Linked DNA regions of Canis lupus familiaris. The protein of the gene in region 2 purifies or fractionates together with the protein of the main gene of each other region. This does not show direct contact. Links are inferred from orthologs where the notes say so. Each region holds a gene or a part of one and is shown on either strand. Other genes may lie near its edges.

What was found.
Region 1: the proteins of ERBB4 (region 2) and STAT5A purify together in Homo sapiens (affinity purification with western blotting; 3 studies listed by BioGRID, with this or other methods). This does not show direct contact. The link is inferred for Canis lupus familiaris from reciprocal best matches to the Homo sapiens genes ERBB4 and STAT5A.

Annotation. Positions count from the first base shown.
Region 1 is NC_049230.1:20,492,600-20,495,867, reverse strand, and holds part of STAT5A (signal transducer and activator of transcription 5A), read left to right. Parts: intron 1-187; coding exon 188-394; intron 395-987; coding exon 988-1,082; intron 1,083-1,177; coding exon 1,178-1,308; intron 1,309-1,757; coding exon 1,758-1,913; intron 1,914-2,586; coding exon 2,587-2,638; intron 2,639-2,949; coding exon 2,950-3,057; intron 3,058-3,268. UniProt on the Homo sapiens protein: Carries out a dual function: signal transduction and activation of transcription. Mediates cellular responses to the cytokine KITLG/SCF and other growth factors. Mediates cellular responses to ERBB4.
Region 2 is NC_049258.1:19,996,188-20,000,776, forward strand, and holds the start of ERBB4 (receptor tyrosine-protein kinase erbB-4), read right to left. Parts: upstream 3,076-4,589; 5' UTR 2,916-3,075; coding exon 2,834-2,915; intron 1-2,833. UniProt on the Homo sapiens protein: Tyrosine-protein kinase that plays an essential role as cell surface receptor for neuregulins and EGF family members and regulates development of the heart, the central nervous system and the mammary gland, gene transcription, cell proliferation, differentiation, migration and apoptosis.

The DNA.
Region 1 (3,268 bases), on a different chromosome or scaffold from region 2:
GTCTCTTATCACCGTATGCCCACCCCTCTGCCCCTGCCACCCTGCCTTTCTTTCTCTCGTGTTTGTGTCTCCTTTTCTGGATCTTTCTTAGTCCTGTCTCGAGTGGTATCTGTGTATCTGAGTGTGTGTATGTGTGTGTGTGTGTGTGTGTGTGTGTGTGTATAAATATTTCTTCTTTCCCTCTCAGGGCAGGGTGCCATTCGCCGTGCCTGACAAAGTGCTGTGGCCACAGCTGTGTGAGGCGCTCAACATGAAATTCAAGGCCGAAGTGCAGAGTAACCGGGGCCTGACCAAGGAGAACCTCGTGTTCCTGGCGCAGAAACTGTTCAACAGCAGCAGCAGCCACCTTGAAGACTATAACGGCATGTCGGTGTCCTGGTCCCAGTTCAACAGGGTGAGGGAACTGCCTCCAGCTGCCTGCCTGGGACCACCCATGCCCTGCCAGTCTCTCCCCACCTCACAGACAGGTTACTGGCCTCAGTCAGTGCCCCACCCTCCATCCTGAGTTGCCCTCTCCTATAGCCAGGAGAGACAGGAGCTAATACCCCAGGGAATGGAGGAAGGGGCAATGAGAAACTGCACTAAGCTCTAAGAGCCAGAGCAGGACAGTGGAAGGACCCTGGGGCTGGGAGTCAGGATCCCTGTCCTAGATCTGTTAACTATGGCCAGGCCCTTCACGGCTCTGTGCCTCAGTTTCCCCCCCTGTACCTTATAGTAGAAATGACTTTGGAGGTCTCGTCCAGCTCAGAGAATTCTGGGCACTTCCTACCCCCAACCTCTGTGTCTGAGAGGAGAGTCGGGTTTACTGTCCCATCGCTAGGCTACGGGCTGGGGTTGTGTCCGTTTAGGGACTGCTGAGTGGGGGGCAGGTCAGGTGAGGAATTGAGAGTATGTGTGAGTACAAGAGGGCACTGACTGTTTCCTGGGCCACCTGTGATGACCGGGCCACAAACCCTGACTGACTGAGGGTTTCCTGGGGGCTCTCAGGAGAACTTGCCCGGCTGGAACTATACCTTCTGGCAGTGGTTCGATGGGGTCATGGAAGTGCTGAAGAAGCATCACAAGCCCCATTGGAATGACGGGTGAGGAATGGAGAGGCCCAGGGTTTGGGAGGCCATGGGCTCAGGGAGCAGGAGACGCTGGCCCAGTAGTGACACTCTATGCTTCATGCACCCAGGGCCATCCTAGGTTTTGTGAATAAGCAACAGGCCCATGACCTGCTCATCAACAAGCCCGATGGGACCTTTTTATTGCGCTTTAGCGACTCCGAAATTGGGGGCATCACCATTGCCTGGAAGTTTGACTCTCGTGAGTGCTCTATGTTGCCCACACTCTGGCCCCAGGAACCTGGGCTCCCATGTCCTTGCTCCCCATTCTCCATGACATCTGCATCCTTAAAAGGTTTCACCAGGGGAAAGACTTGACCTGAATTTCCTTTCTACCATCTTCCATTGTGGAGAACCTAAAATCACTGGCCCCGTAGCCTCCAGAGCTGCTGGGGAAGTTCTTCAGCAGTTCTGGGTTCTTCTCCTTTCTCTGCCCTGACCTAGCCTTCCTGGCATCTCCTTGCTTGTTTCGCTGGGTAGAATGGTCCCATGGTCACTTACTCACCCCTATGCCAGAGGAGCACAAGACAAGGGGTGGGCTGTCAGAGCAGGCTAGTAAAACCCCAAATGTCTCTACAAGCCTGATCTCAAACCCCATGCCCCTGCCCCTGAGGGTAGTGGGTGGTGGGAATGAGCCTTTCCCTTTCACAGCTGACCGCAACCTGTGGAACCTGAAGCCGTTCACCACACGCGACTTCTCTATCCGGTCTCTGGCGGACCGGCTGGGGGACCTGAACTATCTCATCTACGTATTTCCCGACCGGCCCAAGGATGAGGTCTTCTCCAAGTATTACACTCCTGTGTTCGGTGTGTCTCACCCTGATGGTCCTGGGCCCTTCCTCAGCCTGTAGACAAAGCTCTTGGGGCCAGGCAGCGGGGACTCCCCAGGAGGAGCCCAGGGTCCATCTCCCCTGTGGACTGGGTCCATGGCTTGGTGCAGAACTCATGGAGGGGGTTTCAGAACTTACAACCGAGAGGGAAATCAAAGCCTCTGACCCAGTTGTCTTCTCTGCAAACCAAAAAGCTGGGTGGATTCTCCCTTCTGCACTCTGGGAAGAAGAGACACCAGTGCTGGCAAAGGAGGCAGGATAATCATACTGGCAGATCACCTGTTACTCCTATCTTAATGGGCTGCTCTCAGGACTCCCACCCTCAAACCTGTCCCCGCTCCCCCCCACCCTGCCAGTTGAGTGTAGGAAGCAAAATGGACAAGTTTTTCATCTTCAACTTGTCCCCAATCCGTTGTTGGGTTTGCTGCTTGGCATTGATTTTACTTCCTTGGCAGAGGTGGGGCGAGGAGCGAGTGAGCAATGGGGTCTGGGTGGCCCTGAGGCCGAGGCCATCAGCAGGTGTTTATAGGAATAGTCTGGGAAATCTCATCCCTGCCAAGGCCCTGGGGGATGGGAATAGGAGGCAGGCTGCATGCGGTGGGCTTGAGCTCCCAGAGACTGGTTCTCATCACTGTCCCCCCTCTTGGCAGCTAAAGCAGTAGACGGATACGTGAAGCCACAGATCAAGCAGGTGGTCCCTGAGTAAGTACCCAGGGTCCAGCTCTGGCCTCCCACTGCCTCTCTCTTCCCCTCAGCACCCCTCACCCCTCACCACTGCCCCTCCCGCTCACAGGCCCTGCGTGGCCCAGCCCTCCCTTCCCCCTGAAACCTGGCTCAGTTTCCCCCTGGAGAGGGAACTGGGCTTAGTATCAGTGGGACCAGTACCCAGGGCCCCAGGCCCACATCTGGAGTCCCAGGCACAGTGGGCACTTTGTCCTTCCATACCCCCTGGGCCCTCCCCAGGTCAGCTGCTGCCGTGAGGCCGCTGAGGCTCTGCCTCGTTTCTCCTGCAGGTTTGTGAGCGCATCTACAGATTCTGCTGGGGCCAGCGCCACCTACATGGACCAGGCCCCCTCCCCGGCCGTGTGCCCCCAGGCTCATTATAACATGTACCCACAAAAGTAGGTTGTGTTCTCACGGGGCTTCTCGGGGAGGACCTGGGCACCTGGCCTCAGGCTGGGCCCCCAGAGGGCTGGTGGGCAAAGGGACCCAGAGCTCCTGTAGGTCTAAGACCACCCAGGCTGGGCTCTAGCATGTACCCAGGTGCAGGGAGGGGGATCAGTCAGTAAAAAGTGTAGAGCATGGGCTACACATAGCAGGCTCCTTGCTCTG
Region 2 (4,589 bases):
TTGTTCATCCCATATCTATTGAGGTATGTAAGAGCATCACTTCAATATTATATATTGTAATTAAATACAAAGGTGATACTATTTTTAAATCATGCCAGGAAAACAGAAATTTTGAAATTATCCCTTTTGGTAGAAAAGGCTTTATAACAGTCCTATAAAGGGCCTTTGGCTATATACTATATATATACATATATATATAGTATTTCTGGATAAAATGAATTACTGGAAATGAGACAAAGTCCTGAGACATATTTAAAAATTGTTTTCTCTAAAGCTGATTTTTTTCCCAAGCAAGAGAAGAAAAAATAAAAACAGGTCCTTTCCCATTATAATTATTTTAATAAATATCTTAGATCTATACAACAGAATCCTCCCTCCACCCATATCTTTATTCTGTTCACATAGAGCAGTAAATAAGGTGCATTCCTTCTGCTTAAGAAATTAGCATTTCAAAAATATGCCACTTTCCCCTGAACTCCAAGCGTGTCTAATAATGCGAGAAGCAGATTGTCTTCCCTCGTTTCCTTAATTTGTTTCATCTAAAAGCAATTCACTCAACATCTTGTCGCCCTCTGGCAGCTTAGTTTACTTATCCGCACTTAATTTCTCATTTGGACCAAAACAAACTCCTCCAAACTGCTACTGACTGCTAACCGCGAGAGGGGAGACACGCAGTATGTATTTACTTGGGAACAGACAGCCCCACGGACACAGACACAGACACACACAGCCTCACTCACACTCCACACAGTAACTTGGTTTCGTGAAAGCACTGTATTAAAACCAGCTGAACTTTCCCTGCCAGGTGCGGCAGGGGTGGTGGGGGCGGGGGGGGGGGGGTGAGGAGGGGAATAGGGTGAAGAAAGAAGTCCCCAGGGGCATTTACAGTTCCCAGTGGATCACCTTAGCATGCGTGTTGCAATTGTACCAGGGATGCACCGAGAGCTTTTCTTTGTGCGGCCCTTTCATCTGGATCACTCTGTGTTTTGAACAAGTGAGGCTCGCCTTTGTGCCCCTAGAATTTCAAGTGCAGAGTCACACACAGAACAACAATGGCACGCTAATCCCCGCGCTCTACAGGGGCTCACTTGTGGGTCTGACCATTCGCGGGGGGAAGCGAGAAGAGACCAGCGAGGGCGCGAGGCGGTGTCGCCGGAGACGAGGAAGGGGACAGCTGCAGAACTAATTTGGATTGCATTCTTTGCAGAAATTCTGAAAAGGGCTTTTCGGCATAGCTCACCCCTGAGCCACACAGTTAATACCGAGTTGCTGCGCACTCGGAGCCGGGTCCCCCAGCGGCCGAGGCTGCACCGACAGCCCCCAGTGGGCTGCCTCGGACTCGGAGAAATCCCTCTCGCCTAAGTCTGCGTGTCGGTCGCACACGCTTTTGAATGGGTCAATGTGCATAATCGACCCATTGAGGGAAAATACGAAGGGACTCGGAGTGCGGAGGGAGGAGGTAAAAGGCACGTATCTAAGAGGCCGCCTGGAATCCGCGGTCGGGGCTGGTGCGGTTCCGGCGGCGGCTGAGCGCGCGACCCGGTGCGCATGAAGGACTCCCGAGGATCGGGAGGGTGCAAACGGCGAGCACCAACGGCGCACGCTGGTGCCACTCGAAGGTCATTCTGAAAGGCTCGGCGCCTGCGACTTGTTATTTACTAGGCTAGGAGGGAAGGCGGCAGCGGCGGGGGCGGAGCGCGGAAGGCGGCGCGCGGCTCCCGGTGAGGTCAGGGGGACGCCCTCCGGGGGCCCGACGCGGCCCGAGCCCCGCTCCCGGGCGCTCCCGGGGGGCTTCACCCTCCCAGCTGCCTCCCACGCTCCCGCCACCAGCCCGGGGTGGCTCCGGAGATCCCCCCCGCTCTGCAAAAGGCCCCCTTTGGCGGCATCAGACCCACCGGCCTCCGTCCTTTCCCGCCCCGCTTTCATCCCCAGGAAACTCAAGTGTCAAAAACTTTGAGCAGCCTCGCCCTGCAGGTGCCGTGCGTGGCCCTGGCCGCCGCGGACGCCAGCCCACCCCGGGCCTCGGGGGCGGTCGGCCTGGGCCCGTCCAGGTGCCCGGGCTCGCGCCTTCTCGCAGGCGGTGGCGGTGGCGGTGGCGGAGGCGGAGGCGGTGGCGGCGCCGTCGCTCCCGCCTCGGGGTGGACCGGGTCGCGCCCCGGGTCGGCTCGGCAGCCGCGCCGGGCAGTAAACAGCGAAGTTGGAGGGACTCGGGCCAATAGAAGTTGAACTACAGGAAGAACTCTTCCCGGAGCCAAGCCGGGCGACGACGGCAGGGCCGGGCTCCCGCTCAGGGTGTCAAACCCCTTCCCTGCCCCCCCCCTTTTCTTTAGAGAGAGCCCGCGGGCCAGCGAGCTCCGTCGAGTCGGCGGCGCGCAGGCTGGCGGCCGCCCCAGCGGGGAGGGACCCGCGGCCGCACAGGTGCGCCGCCCGCCGGCTCGGGGACAGCCCCTGCGGAGCCCCGCGCGCCGGTGCCAGGCGTTCGCTCTCGGGGCGCCCGCACGGCGGGACCGTCCAACTCGGGAGCCTCGGGAGCCGCGTGTCCCGCGGCCCGCACAACCGGCAGGACCCGCAGAGATCCCGCTTTTAGGCTCCCCCGAAAACGCGGGAGAAAGAAAGAAAGAAAGAAAGAAGGGGGTCGGGGAGAAAGGAAGGGGGGAAAAGGGAGGGGGGACAGGGTCGCAGAGTGACATTTCACGGTAAGTGAAACGCAGGTACACGAAAAAGGCTAAGTTTGGGGACGGACAGACGGAGGGAGGAAGGGAAGCCAAGCCCGAGGAGGAGGAGGCCGGAGGGGCGCGGGGGGCGCGGGGGGCGCGGAGCCCCGGACACCCACCTGACTGGGAGGCGTTGGGCTGGACGGTCCCCGCTGCCAGCAGAAGGCTCACCCAGACCCACGGTCCTGCCGCCAGCTTCATTTTCTGCAAGTCTCAGATCCCGAGCTGACAATTACATGTCCAAATGGCATCTCCCCTGTCGGGCACGCGGAGGAGGGCCCCGAGTCCGGCGCGCCCGGGGCGCGGTGCACCGGCTCCCAGCTGGAGCCGCCGAGGGCGAGTGCGCGTGCGAGTCCGAGTCCGAGTCCGAGTCCGAGTCCGAGTCGGCGGGGCCGGGGCCGGGGTGCGGGGGCGCGGGGAGCCGGGGCCGGGGCCGGGGCCGGGGCCCGAGGAGGGGCGTGCGCGCCGGTGTGCGCGGGGCCGTGCGCCCGAGGGTGTGCGCGTGCCGCTCGGGGCCGGACTGGGCAGCGCTTCCCCCGTGCGAGCCTCCGCGTCCTCGCTCCCTCCTCACTTTCTCGCACTGGTTGGTCAACAATAAAAAGGAAGGGGGGAAAAGGCTTTCCAAAAAAAGTTGATTGCAAAGAGGCGGTAGGTTTCCGGCCTCTCCCCGCAGCCGGGCTATGTTGGGCTCCCTTTTCAGTTTCCTTGCACCTCCAGTCCCAACTGGGAGGGGATGGGAGGACGAGGGCGGGGGGGGGGGGGGGGGCGAGGGGAGGGCGCTTCTCGCTTCTCCCCCGATCCTGTCCTTCTTTTTCCCGTCAGCTTTCCTCACACTTGTCCGGCGGCTGCGGTAATTAAAGCTCCGAGCGTCATTTCCAACGCTCCGCGGTCTCCAGCTGCAGCCCCACCGAGAAATTAATAAGACTCCGGGAGGGGGGAAAAAAAAAAAAAAAAAGGTGGAGGGGGGGCGGATAAAACAAGCCTCCACGCAACCGGGCTGGCTCGGCTCAGCCGCGAGCCCCGCCCCCGCTCTGACCCAACTGGCCCCGCCTTTTTCCCCGCCCCCCACCCCCCAGAGGGGAATCTTATTGGCTCGTACTCTCCCCAAAATCCTCAGTCTCAGGAGTTGGGAAAACACCTGTCTGGGAGCGGGCGCGTGCTGCGGGGGGCGGGGGAGCTGGATTTAAAGGGCTCGCCCGACCCAGCCGACCGACGCCGAGGCCCTAGACAGCGGCTTGCGAGCGCGGAGACCACCGCAGGGTTGCTCACAGATTTTTTTTTTTTTTCTTTTCCTTAAACCAGAAAGTCCCCGTTTTCTCTACTGCCCCACACACAGTGCTCATCCACAGACTGGAGCTGGAAATAGAAGAAAAGAAAACGTTGCTTCGGGCATAAAGCCTTCACCCTTCTCCAACCTCTAATGCTGCTGCACACTCAGAAAGTAGTTAAAAAGGTGGTTCGGGAGCTGGGAGGCTCTGCCGGTTAGGTGGTCCTGGGAACACAATCACCCGTTTTTCCAACTATGCCATCCCTCCCACAATTCCCACCCTGCCGAACTGACGGCATTTATATAGCTACAGCCTTTGCTTTTCAGACCTCGTAAGTCTTTTTTCACCTTTTCCTTGGACTTGGGACAACTTTGTATGGGGTTCATTCTCATTAAACAGATTCTCGTCCAAAGGTATAAATGTGGTTCTAAAGGGCTAGAAACTCTCTCACTCCGCAGCTGTTACTGTGAAAGAACTTAAGGCCATACCAGGACATGGCCAACACAAATGATTATTAGGCTTATGCTACAGTAGACCCAACTTTAGGTACCTTCTGCGAGTCCACACTCCCCAGTCCCCATATCCCTAACTATAGGAGTTTCTGTGC